Linked DNA regions of Schizosaccharomyces pombe. Changing the gene in region 2 together with the main gene of any one other region gives a genetic interaction. Each region holds a gene or a part of one and is shown on either strand. Other genes may lie near its edges.

Evidence for each region.
Region 1: of prp16 (region 2) and cwf10, a mutation in one rescues a mutant of the other (synthetic rescue), as found in Schizosaccharomyces pombe (one study listed by BioGRID).

The regions. Positions count from the first base shown.
Region 1 is NC_003423.3:4,050,821-4,056,594, reverse strand, and holds cwf10 (GTPase Cwf10), read right to left. Parts: upstream 4,040-5,774; 5' UTR 3,995-4,039; coding exon 3,969-3,994; exon of another isoform or gene 3,925-3,968; coding exon 3,565-3,924; intron 3,527-3,564; coding exon 3,175-3,526; exon of another isoform or gene 3,116-3,174; coding exon 899-3,115; 3' UTR 616-898; downstream 1-615. Other genes in the region: protein Mtl3, read right to left, coding at 1-427; SPOM_SPBC215.11C (aldo/keto reductase family protein), read left to right, coding at 5,213-5,774. UniProt on the Schizosaccharomyces pombe protein: Component of the U5 snRNP complex required for pre-mRNA splicing. Binds GTP.
Region 2 is NC_003423.3:2,163,925-2,170,433, reverse strand, and holds prp16 (ATP-dependent RNA helicase Prp16), read right to left. Parts: upstream 4,210-6,509; 5' UTR 4,176-4,209; coding exon 654-4,175; 3' UTR 501-653; downstream 1-500. Other genes in the region: Cdc73 family RNA polymerase II accessory factor, read left to right, coding at 1-443; pwp1 (WD repeat protein), read right to left, coding at 4,606-6,156.

The DNA.
Region 1 (5,774 bases), 1.9 Mb from region 2:
AACTTGGGTCCAGAAGAGAACTGGATTCCGTACTAGAAGGCGTATATTCAGAAGAAGTAGGTGAAAAGAAAGAAGTCGACGAGGGAAGCTGACTAGTTGCGGGATCAGAATAAGAGCTGACCGGAGACGAGTAAGAATTAGTTTCTGAGGGAGTAGCAGATTCAGAAAAGATACTGGGTTCACTAGAGCTAGTGGGTGTCGCATACCCGTAGTAAGTAGGAGTTCCTCCAGTTTCAGCGGCACGACCATAATATCGGATTTCCTGACGCCTTTGTAGTTCCTCTTGAGAATCTCTGCCCTCAAGTTGATTTAAAGATATTTTTGTGAAGCTGGAATTACCATATATTTGATGCACCAAGAAGGCTTGCGTAAAAATGTTCGATATGCAAAATACGCAAATGAGAGAAAACAAAAGTCTCAAACCCATCTTCAGTTTTAAGGATAATAATAAACTAATCTAACTAAACTCGCTGTATTTTACTTCCAAAAGCAGAGCACTTCCGGAAGTTGTATATGTCCCTAAAGTCTTCCGGTATACTGAGAGGGTAACTTCATGACATATGACCTCGGGTGTTTATAGTACTATGAAATTACGTTATTTCAGTTGAGTGTTAGTTTCTTAACATAAAAAAATAAATAATAGAAGTTATTTATCTATATACTAAAATCGTAAAACCAAAATGCGACTTTTCCTTCTGATCAAGGATTTCACAAATAATTTACGGCTTCAAGATATGCGCTGATTTTTCGGATTTCATACACTGTAAACGCGAGATTTGAAAGCAAAAAAAAGTTGTTAGACTTCTCGAACTTTCATAAATAATCGTATACTTTATTATTAAAATCTACCCAATTTATTTTTTTTTGCAAAATCCATTATAAAGACTTAAAACCGACATTACAAAGAGAGTACGACACCTGCTTCTTTCAAAGAATCAATCATTTCTTGATCGAAATAGCGAGTTGTAGAAACATCTTCCACCAGACCTTTTCTACGTCTTGTCTTAATCAGAAAGTCTCTCGCCAAATCAGAGCCACGTGCGGGTTCTAATGGCTTGGGCTTGATAGACTTATCCAGTGGATCACCAGGTACTACCTGCCAATGATCAAATACCATTTGACACATAGCTTGACCCTGAGTATGCACTCGTAAATCTGTTTCAAATCCACAAGAATCAATGACTGGAATAAGTGCTCTCACCAAATATAATGGGGAACCTGGCCGAGGGATATCTTGGAGGACATGACCACGACGACGCGTTAATAAATCATAAATAATAGGAAGACTGTCAGCGGGGGCATGTACTTCAACCATATACACTGGTTCCATTAGCCGTGGAGACGCTGTTAAAAAAGAAGAATAACACACTCTCCTTGCGGTTGGAATAATTTGACCACCTCCTCGATAAATTTGTTCAGGTGCAAGCACTACATCCATCAGGCGAAAATTCACGTTTCGGATTGTCTCATCACATAGAGGACCTTCCCTAGTCCCCCATTGAAAACCTTGTTTAATGTATTCTTTTACGCTATTAAGCACGTTTTTATCAACATCTGTACTAAGAGTATCATCCCGCAATATATTCGTACCACGATCATCGGGACCAAAAGCCCAGATGGAACGTGAAGCTAGTAAGTCCCAATCGTAGTTCTTTTGGAAAAATTCGCTGATTCTTTTTTGAGGCCAATTGATATTAACTTTTCCATTTTCAATGTCATTAGAAATTCCTTTCTCCAATGGCTCAACTACCATTGTGATACGATTTTTTTTATTTGGAGTATCTGAAAAACACTTGATACTTGATGTGTCCACCGCAGTCTCACAGAAACGAGCAACTGGATCGGAAACTCTGATTTCGATTTCAGAGTATAAAGTCCGAAGATCATAAAGTAGACAATCCATATACATCTCACCAGTACCGAAAATAGTATGTTCCCCAGATTCTTCTACTTTTGTGATAGATAGTGGGTAGCTTTTGTTTGTTTTTCGTAGGCCATCAAGTAGTTTTGGTAATTCTGATGGATTGTGTGGCTCTACAGCCACCTTGAAAACACTCTCGGACATGTGAGCAATTGGCCTGAAAATGTAAGGATCATCTTTCAAATTGTCCGAAACGATGGTTGCTGTTTTGCTAATAGAGTTATCAACACCTCCTAAAAGAACTAGCATGCCGGCAACAGCTCCATCAACGTGAAGACGATATCGTGCGCAAGGTACACATATTTCAGCAATATGAGCAACCACCATATCCTCTTCGTCTTCTAAAGAATAATTTTCTCCAAGAACTTTAACTTTCTGACCCTTTTTAACCTGACCACTATATACACGAGCAAATGCATAAAAATTATTAGCATCGACGGTGTTGTAAAGTTTAGTAACATGCATGACTAATGGTGCTGATTCCTCACGACTCATTTCTAAGATAGCCTTGCCGATACTAGAGTTTATAGGCCCAATATATGATTGAGAGGCTTTACGAGCGGCATTTTCTCGAGGCGATGGAATATGTCTAGTAACTGCATTCACAAAACCAACGGGGAATCCAAAAAACGATGCGCAAATTAGTTGCAAGAGTGGTTTAGGATCTAATAAATAATCCTTGGGTTTTAAATAAATTTGGAAAGAAGATAAGTGTTTTTTGAGTTTTTCGGCTTCGTCAGAAATAGTAAGGGTATGTAATTTATACAACGGTTCTAATATGAAATGGACAAAGCTTCTAACGCCAGAGCCATCCAAGGACTGTTTGGCAAATTTTCTGGTTTTCGAATCGAAATAAATATCCCCCCACAATCTTTTAGAAAATAAGTCCACGTCGATACCTCCATGTCTATCTATATAGAGTTTTGCGAAACTAGACAATGTAAAACAATATCCAAGATCACATGAAGCAAAACAAACGTTCCCTAACTCAGGAGAAACGCGATATTTCAAATCTTTACTAATCTGGCAAATGTTATCGTTTACTTCGTCGATAACGTGTCGAAGTTTATGGTAAGCATCATTCGGAGGGAGACGTAGCTCAAGGATTAACCTATCAACTTTGTTCAAGACGAGCACAATTGGCATATCGTGAAGAATCGCATGTTTGATAATTCTAGTGGTGTTAATCATCACCTAAAGCATGTTAGAATCTTTATATCTTCAAAACGCAAGAAAAGGCCAGAATAACTTACACCTTCAATAACATCAACGACTAATACAACACCATCACTTATGGCCATAGGAGCAGCGACTTCATCAACAAAATCGACATGACCAGGCGTATCGATGCACTGAAATGCAAACGTCTTACCCTTCATATCAGAAACTGCGAGCGTAAGTGGAGTACTTTTTATAGACATCACACGTTCTCTTTCAAGATAATGAGTGTCGGTATATCGAAGTGAACGCCTTTTTGGCGGCTTGGTGTCAGGATGGGTATAATAAACGAGTAAATCTAATAAAGCGCTTTTGCCGTGATGCAGATGGCCAGCAACAATAAAAGATCTAACGTCATCTGTCCCAGTTAAGAGACCGAAGAGGAACCTTAAAAAGTTAGAAAAGACATTGTTACACATACTTACTCTTTCTTGTATACAGTATCTGGGACGTTTGTTGTTTCTATAGCAATCCTTTTGTGACGAATTGGCTCAATAATGGGCTGGCTTAAGGGTTGAGTATCCTGTTCCTGAACCATGATATCCACGTTGGACCCATATACCTCTTCAGCGCTAGGATAATATTGTTTATCCTCGTGAAGAACAACGGCATTCTGAGGCTCTAGATGACTCAACGCCATTTCCTCGGCCCTTTCAACGTCTTCTAATTCTTCATCAGGAATGACCTCTTCAAAGGATGGTACCTGTGCAATTGTAGGGCTAGGAGCCTGAGGAAACAGCTCCTCTTCATCTTCTTCATTTTCAGGGCCTATGTAATTTCCAAACCTGGCGAGTTAGAAATAACTATAAAATGTTTTTAGACCACTTACTCATCATATAAATCCTCTTCCATCATCAGTTACTGCCAAGTACCCACAATGCACAACTTTTGGTAATTACCAAATTTGAAGTAAAGTGTAACCAAGTTTTCGAGCTTTAGCGCATTCATGTCTCAACTGCGATTTATATCTCGTTAAGCTTTGATAATGAGCTAGAGAAATCATTGTCTTTATACTCTCTAAACGAGATATGATCGGCTCAGTAACTTCCACTACACTCTTTAAGGTTGCCGAAGAACGACATCGTCTCATTTTGATAGAAAGGAATGAATCGTAATTATTGAAAACCAAATATACTTTTTTATTTACCAACTTCCTCCTTAAAAGTCGTACATGGGTGTAATTGAGACCTTAAAAGACTGGTTATGTCTACGATTTGAGCTACCGACCCATGTTTAGCAGCCAAATTTATAAGCTTTTCGAAGACAATAGTAAGAGTAAATAGCCATTGTAAAAGTGCGGTGCAAACATTTTTAGAGCGCAAGTTTTGCAACTGTACAAAGTATTTAGTGTGTTTATAAAACACACAACAAATTGCTGAATGTCAATAACACTAATAATATACTGGCATCATCAACTAAATTCAAAAAATGTGTTTCCTTTCAAATACAGTCCTAGAATTGTTATTATGTGCAATGTTTACCTCGATTTACGGAACTGGTCAACCCATTTGTGGTCTCCAAATGATAACTCGTAGTACGATTTGATAGCACGATCAAGCATAATTCAAGAAGATGGAAAATATAAATCCACATTATCTTGAATAGAAAGAAACATAGCAATAAAGATCATTATCGTTATGTGCGACCATCGTTGCTCATGAATAAAAATGGGCTGGCAAAAGAAGACAGAGATACAGTTTAGACAATTCATCCAGCATCAGATTTTGGAACCATAAAATTATCATTAAATTGAATAAGAGCCAAATCAAAAAGGACTTAGCTATTTACTCTAATTCAAAATCCAACCAGCAATATCGTACTATAATAGTATTAGTCATCGTTATGACAATATATTGTCTAACGCGCTCTTACATCATACCACTGGATTCTGTAAATAGGGTATGTAATAAATCAGTTTTCGTGGTTTAAGATAGTCCGCATCAATCCAGCTTATGTAAGGAATACACCATGTAAAATTACTATAAAAGGAAACGGCGTCTGACATCCCACACTTACCGGATCCACTATAGTACTTGATCTTGATTTCTAAGAAAAGCGACAAAAGACACAAAAATGAGTAAAACTGCAGCTTCTTCCGCCGTAGATGCTTCACAAGCTGGGACTGTCAAGGTTGGCGACATGGTTGTCAATAGAATGGGATTCGGAGCAATGAGAGTTACCGGTGATGGTATATGGGATGAACCCAAAGACAAAGAGGCTTGCATCGCAACTTTAAAACGTTTGCCTGAACTCAATATTAACTTTATTGATACCGCCGATTCTTACGGCCCTGAGGTCAGCGAGAATCTTTTACGAGAAGCTTTATACCCTTACAAAGGACTTATAATTGCTACCAAGGGTGGCCTTGTTCGTACAGGTCCAAATGAATGGCATCCTTGTGGAGCACCCAAATTTTTACGTCAAGAAGTACTTATGAGCATGCGTCGACTTGGAGTTAAGCAAATTGACCTCTGGCAACTACATCGCATCGATCCCAAGGTTCCTCGCAAAGACCAATTTTCTGAAATTGCAGCTATGAAGAAAGAAGGATTGATTCGCCATGTTGGATTGAGTGAGGTTACAGTAGACGATATCAAAGAAGCTGAACAGTATTTTCCGGTAGTTAGTGTTCAGA
Region 2 (6,509 bases):
AATTTTTGGAAGAAGGTATTTTTGTTCCTCCAGCTGAAGCCGCTCATGCAGCTGGTGGTGGTCGTGGTCCTGAGCTTATTGCTCTGTCCCACAAAAGCTCGAATTCAAAATTTGGAACAATGCGTTTTATTATCGTAGAAGGTACAGAAAAGTTTAAACCTGACTATTGGGATCGCGTCGTTTGCGTTTTTACAACAGGCCAAGCTTGGCAGTTTAGAGATTATAAATGGTCAGAACCGCACCAGCTTTTTCATCATGTTAAAGGATTTTTGGTTCAATACGTTGGTGATCCTCCTCATCCTGCAACACATGACTGGAATGTAGAAGGCATTTTTGTGGAAAGATTACGACGACATACTGATCGTGAAGTAGTCAGTCAATTGTGGGATAAGTTAGAACGCTGGATGGAAAATAGATGGCCGCTTTGGAACGGCAGAAGGTAATTATGTATATAAATGTTTTCAAATCCCGTTCTTTATAATTACTGCTAAAAAACTATTTTTCACTTTCTTAATGAATTTATTAATCCTCTCAATTTAAAATAATAAAAAAATGTTAATAACTGAATTTCTTTATTACCATAAACCTAGCACATTATTCATAACATAATTTACATAGAATTTTGAGATGGGAACCTTTTTGCAGAGTTCTCATTAAAATCCACGAACCCTTCTAGGAGGTTTGGCACGTATCACTGACTTTCGTTTTGATTTCACGGGTTCTTGATTCTTCGCAAGCTTTTGCTTTGCATCAAGTTCTCGGTCGGCGGCTATCTGTGCATCCAATTGAGGTTTGCTAGAAAAAACTCGATCATAGCTTTCAGTTTCATTTCGGAATCTTTCCTTCACAGAGTAGTAAACTCCACCAAACTCAGCTAGCCAGTATGGATCAACACTGGTGACAATATTCATGTACTCCTTGGAAGTGAGTACAAGTTCGTGATATATAACATAATCAGGTAGATACCCTAAGCCATAAAGACTCGAAGTAACATGTAGATGGCAAGGCATGCCGCTTCGTAAATGAACATACTCCCCAATACCTTTAGCGCATGCTGCTTGATGAAAGTACGCAGAACACAAAACTCTCCGAACAATGTCCCAATCGGATACAGATTCTAAACTAATCTTTTGCTTTGACATAATTTCGACCAGCTGTTGACGAATATCGCGCGCCCGTTTAAGAGTTTTCGAGTGTAAAAAATGTTTACTGCACCATGAATTTGAATATCCATTTCTTTGCCAATGCTGATAAATATTGAGTAGCATTAAATGATCACTTTCTGGCACATTAAACTTTTCTCTTGCAGCGTCACTCTCTTCAGCTCTTTCCTTGGGTCTATAAAATACAGACGGAACTGAAAGCATGGAAACAATCGTAATAATTTCCTCAGTACATTTATAATCTTCAGCAATAATAATAAGTTTTGAAAGAGAAGGATCCATTGGAAATAACGACATTTTCTTTCCTAAAGTAGTAAGTTTTCCAAAATTGTCGAGGGCTCCTAAAGTCCATAATTCATACAGAGATGCCATTAACGTATCATTTGGAGGACGGTCCATGAAATCAAAATCCGAAATTTCTTCAACACCAAGGGATTTTAAAATAAGAACTGTGTTTGATAGATTGGTACGCTGAATTTCAGGTAAGGTCGTTTCAAACATTTCACGAATATAAGCCATTTCGGTATAAAGGCGATATGCAATACCGGGTCCAGTACGCCCAGCACGACCGGCTCTTTGATTCGCATTAGCTTGCGAAATAGGTGTAACTTGCAGAGTATCAATACCCAACTTAGAATTATACATTTTCAGTTTACAATATCCAGTATCTACAACATATGATATTCCGTGCACAGTGAGCGAAGTTTCCGCAATATTAGTTGCGACCACAACCTTTCTAACACCTGGCTCGGCGGAATCAAAAATTTTTGCTTGTAAATCCGCAGGCATTTGTGAGTAGATAGGCAAAATGGACAAGCGTGGTGCATCATGCAACTGATTTAACCTATCTGCAATGATCTCGCATGTAGCTTCAATATCTTCCTGCCCTGTCATAAAAACTAAGATATCACCTGCAGGCTGAGAGAGGTGAATCTGCAATACCTGTCGTACAGCTGCTTCAACGTAATCAGAGCAAGGGGCTTTAGCAAACATAATATCCACCGGGTAAGTACGACCTGGAATTGTAAACTGTGGGGCGCCTCCAAAAAAATCAGAGAATTTCTGGGAATTCATAGTAGCGGATGTAACGAGCAACTTGATATCTCTTCTCCTGGATAACACCTTTTTTAGTAAACCCATTAAAATATCTGTATTAAGGGATCGCTCATGTGCTTCATCCATTATAATGACGCTATATTTTTCTAGATTATTTTGCATCAAGGATTCTCTTAGTAAAACACCGTCAGTCATGTACTTAATTACGGTATCCGGTCCAGTAACATCTTCGAAACGAATTGAATAACCAACTGTTGAACCTAGACGAACACCCATTTCCTCACTAACCCTTTTTGCAACTGACATGGCGGCGACACGACGAGGTTGAGTACACCCTATCATGCCATTTCTATGATAGCCATCCTCATATAAGAATTGAGCTAATTGGGTAGTTTTACCAGAACCAGTCTCACCAACTACAATAAGAACTTGGTTATCACGTATAACAGAAAGAAGCTGTTCACGCACGGCAAAGGCAGGTAGGAACTCTCTTTGTTCTCTATATGATTTCGTGCGAGCGAACTCAGTATCCTTCTTATTCGACTGTTCAGAACGTCCAGCTACTTTAACAGGTGTGGTACCGGCCTTGGCATCTTCATCATTAGAATCTTTGAGACCCATCACGTTACCCAAAGATGTACCAGCAAGGGATGTAGCAGCACTTGCTGCTTTTTGACGCTCCCGAAATTCTCTTCGTTCACGTACAAGACGAGATCCTAATCTAGCATTTATTGCAAGGTCGCTTTGTGGATCTCGAACCGATGTAATATCACCGACTTTCTTAGAAGAAAATTCGGCCCCATCCAAAAAATGAGGACGCAGTTCATCGACAAGCAAGTGAACACGCCTCTCTTCCATAAGGGAGTAATCAGATTCGAGCCCTGGAGCTTTTGAAACACCAGATGTGATCATTCTATTTTTTTCCCACATAGAATTTTCTTTAAATCTGTCTGATGCTTCAATTGACAAATGCTTTTTCTGCTTTTCGATAAACTCAGCTTCATGTGCACGATCTTCGACAGTTTCAAAATCGGAGAATGGATTGTGAACTTCATCGCCAAGTAAATTTTGCGACTCGGAATTCATGTACCAATCACGATCCAAGTGAGCTTGCTCCTCTTCCCAACGTTGACGATCAGCTTTACTCTCGGGATCTTCTTCGGGGTACTCAACGTCGCGGGCATCCCAAGAGCTGTGTGCACCATAAGAATAATCACTATCGTGCGAATATTTAGAGCTATCGACGTCTCTTCGAGAACCATTACCAAACCGATTTCTGCGTTTTGAGGATAAAGGTTCTTCCATTTGAGTTCGATACCGCCGACGATTAGATCCATTGGAAGACTCGAAATTACTTCCAGACCAGCTAGAATAAGAATTTCTACGATATTTATCATCTTCACTTTCAAACTCTTGATGATCGTCAACAGATGACCGTTGACGAAGGGGACGAAAATGTTTTTCATGTGGATTTTTAGGTCTCTTAAATTCCACCCTGTCATAGTTTCCTATAGACTCCAAGGAATCATTTTCTACTTGGGATAATTCAGAGCGCCCTTCTACTTGAGATTTCTCTTTCTTTTTTTGAACAGCAAGAACATCCAATCCAAGCTGGGATTTTTTGGGTTCTCGGCCTTTCAAACCAGAACGATTAGACAAAACTAATCCAGCTACCTGAGACCCATCATTCCCAGGAAGTTTATCTTTAGAAATCCCCAAATTTGTCTCTAAACCAATTATAGATTTGCATAAATCGTAAATAAGGACGCTGTCATTATCGGAAAATCGTCCAAATGTATGTAATGCATTAGAAAACTCGGTGCTGGACGAGCTACCCTTGGCAATTGTCAAAACTCGACTGGCAAGCGATGTAGCTGCATCTTTACTGGACATATAATCAGTTAATTTATCTATTAACTTCGTAAATAGCAAATCATTTTGATTATGTGAAAGCATACCTACTAAATCAATAAGGTTGCTGGCGGAAGGCGAACTTACTCAGACCCTCCGGCCCCCCAAAGGTGCAAAATCATGAACCTGAGTAATTGACAATTAACAATTTATCAGTACTTCAATGTTTAAATAAAAATTGTCATATGAATTAAAAGAATTGTTAGGCAAAATTTACCAAGTAACGGTAAACCCAATATACACTTAATGCATACATTTGCTACTCCACTAATGTGGATGAATTTACTAAAGTTTAAAGACCATCATACACCAAATCAAATGAAATTTATTGTAACTAACCTGATCCCTTTTTTCCAAATATTGAATTATGCAAAAAATCCTCTATACAATTAGTGAGCCCTTTAAACCCATGAAGCGGCCTCTTAGGAGAGTTTTTGAAAACATGAAGCTATAATCTTAAAATAAATCAAGAGAATTAGGACATCTCAGCATCTTGATCATCATCGTCTTCTATATCTTCATAGTCATCATCATCAGAAGAGTCCTCCCCGGCACCTCTGTCTTCTAACTGAACGATGCGCTCTTTTTTAGTAACTTCCTCAGTAACTCTACTTTCAAACGCTTTTCGAACACCAGGATTAGTTGCAGTGTCCCAGACACGAACGACTCCTTTGCTTCCGGAGGCAGCTAGATGGAAAGCAGTTGATTCGTCCGTAGTAAAGGAGCAAGTAAACACACGTCCAACATCCAAATCTCTAGAAACAACCATCTTCGGTGAACTATCGGAAGTGTTCCAGAGTTTAACCACTCTATCAGTGGAGCCTGTGGCTACAAAAGAAGGAACCGAAGGATTAACACTGAGACAAGAAATAGGTCCATCATGGGCTTGCAATTGCCAAACGGACTTTGAGAGATTTCTAGCATCGCAATAATAAACTATGCCATTATCAGTGCCAATGAAAAAGTTGTTTTCGCTATGTTGATCCCAGGCAACATTTTCAACATCGCTAGTAACTTGAAAACTCGATGGAGCTTCTTCAAGGCGAAGGTCAGCTATTTTTGCAGTTTTATCATAACTACCTGACAATAATACGGATGGAGCTTTGGAATACCAATCTAAGCAAGAAACTTTGTCAGAATGATACGTGAAAGATTTGACACAATTGCATGTGCTCAAATCCCACAACTTTAGTGTGGTATCTGCAGAACCAGAAACCAAAAGATTGTGAGCATTTCGGTTCGAAGAAAGAGCAAGAACAGCATCTGTGTGATAACTATCATTTATTTTTTTAGACTTCTTCTTTTTCTTGTTGACTTGAGAGGCACCTGCACCCAACACGGCTGCAGGGTAAACTGCATCAATGATGTCTAAATCCCATATTTCAATTTCAGGATCAAACGTGCCGACAGCAACGTAATTTCCAGGAGCGTTGTCAGACGTACCCACCTTATAATCTAGCCATTCGAGACACAGAGGAAAGGTAGGGAGAAGAAAATCATGATGCACGTAAAGATTTTCCTCTGTTGGCTCATATACATACACTTCAACGTGGGACAAGTTATCTTCTGTGCGCGCAGCTAGCAAAAGGCTGTCTGTTGGTAATATTTGCATTTCCTCTCTTTCCAAATCGTCCTGTTCCTGAGGATCAATAGTGATATATGGATCTTTTTCTCCATTTTCATGGTAAGCCAATCCACGAATGTTGCTAAACATAGCAGCGGGCCCTTCTGTCTCAGCTTCCTCCTCATCGTCATCGTAAGTATCCAAATTGTATACTTTCAATTCATCATCTACCTCTTCACTTGTTTGCAACACCCCTTCTGCTCCATCTGTAGTTTCTTCACCGTTCCCATTGGCTTTATTTGAGTCTTCCATAGAAGATTGGAGATCAGCTCGAGCATCCTCGAGCTTTAACTTTGAAAGCTGATTAATTCGCTCATACTCTATCTCATCAATATCGTAACTCTTGGGAAACTCTGATGCATAACCGCGAGGAACAAAAGCCACAGACGAGACTATTGACATGTTGCACCTCTCTTAATATTTACTCCGCAAATCTTTACTTTAATGTTTAAACCAGAAAACACACCACTCTTGATCTAAACGAGATTAAAAATTTAAAGATTAAGTAAATGTCAACGTATTGATACGAGTAAATAATGGCATAAATCGTGCACCGCTACTTGGGAAAAGAAGAACTGAAAATATTCGTGTCTTACAAAAAACGTTATTTAACCGTTTAGCGTAAACCTGCGTTAAATTAGATTTCAAAACTTAAGAAAACATTTTTCTTCGACCAAAAGGCCATAACGTTCATGTAGATAAACTAAATGCGTTAACTTAATTTACGTCAACAAGTATTTTTACTCATCGTAAAT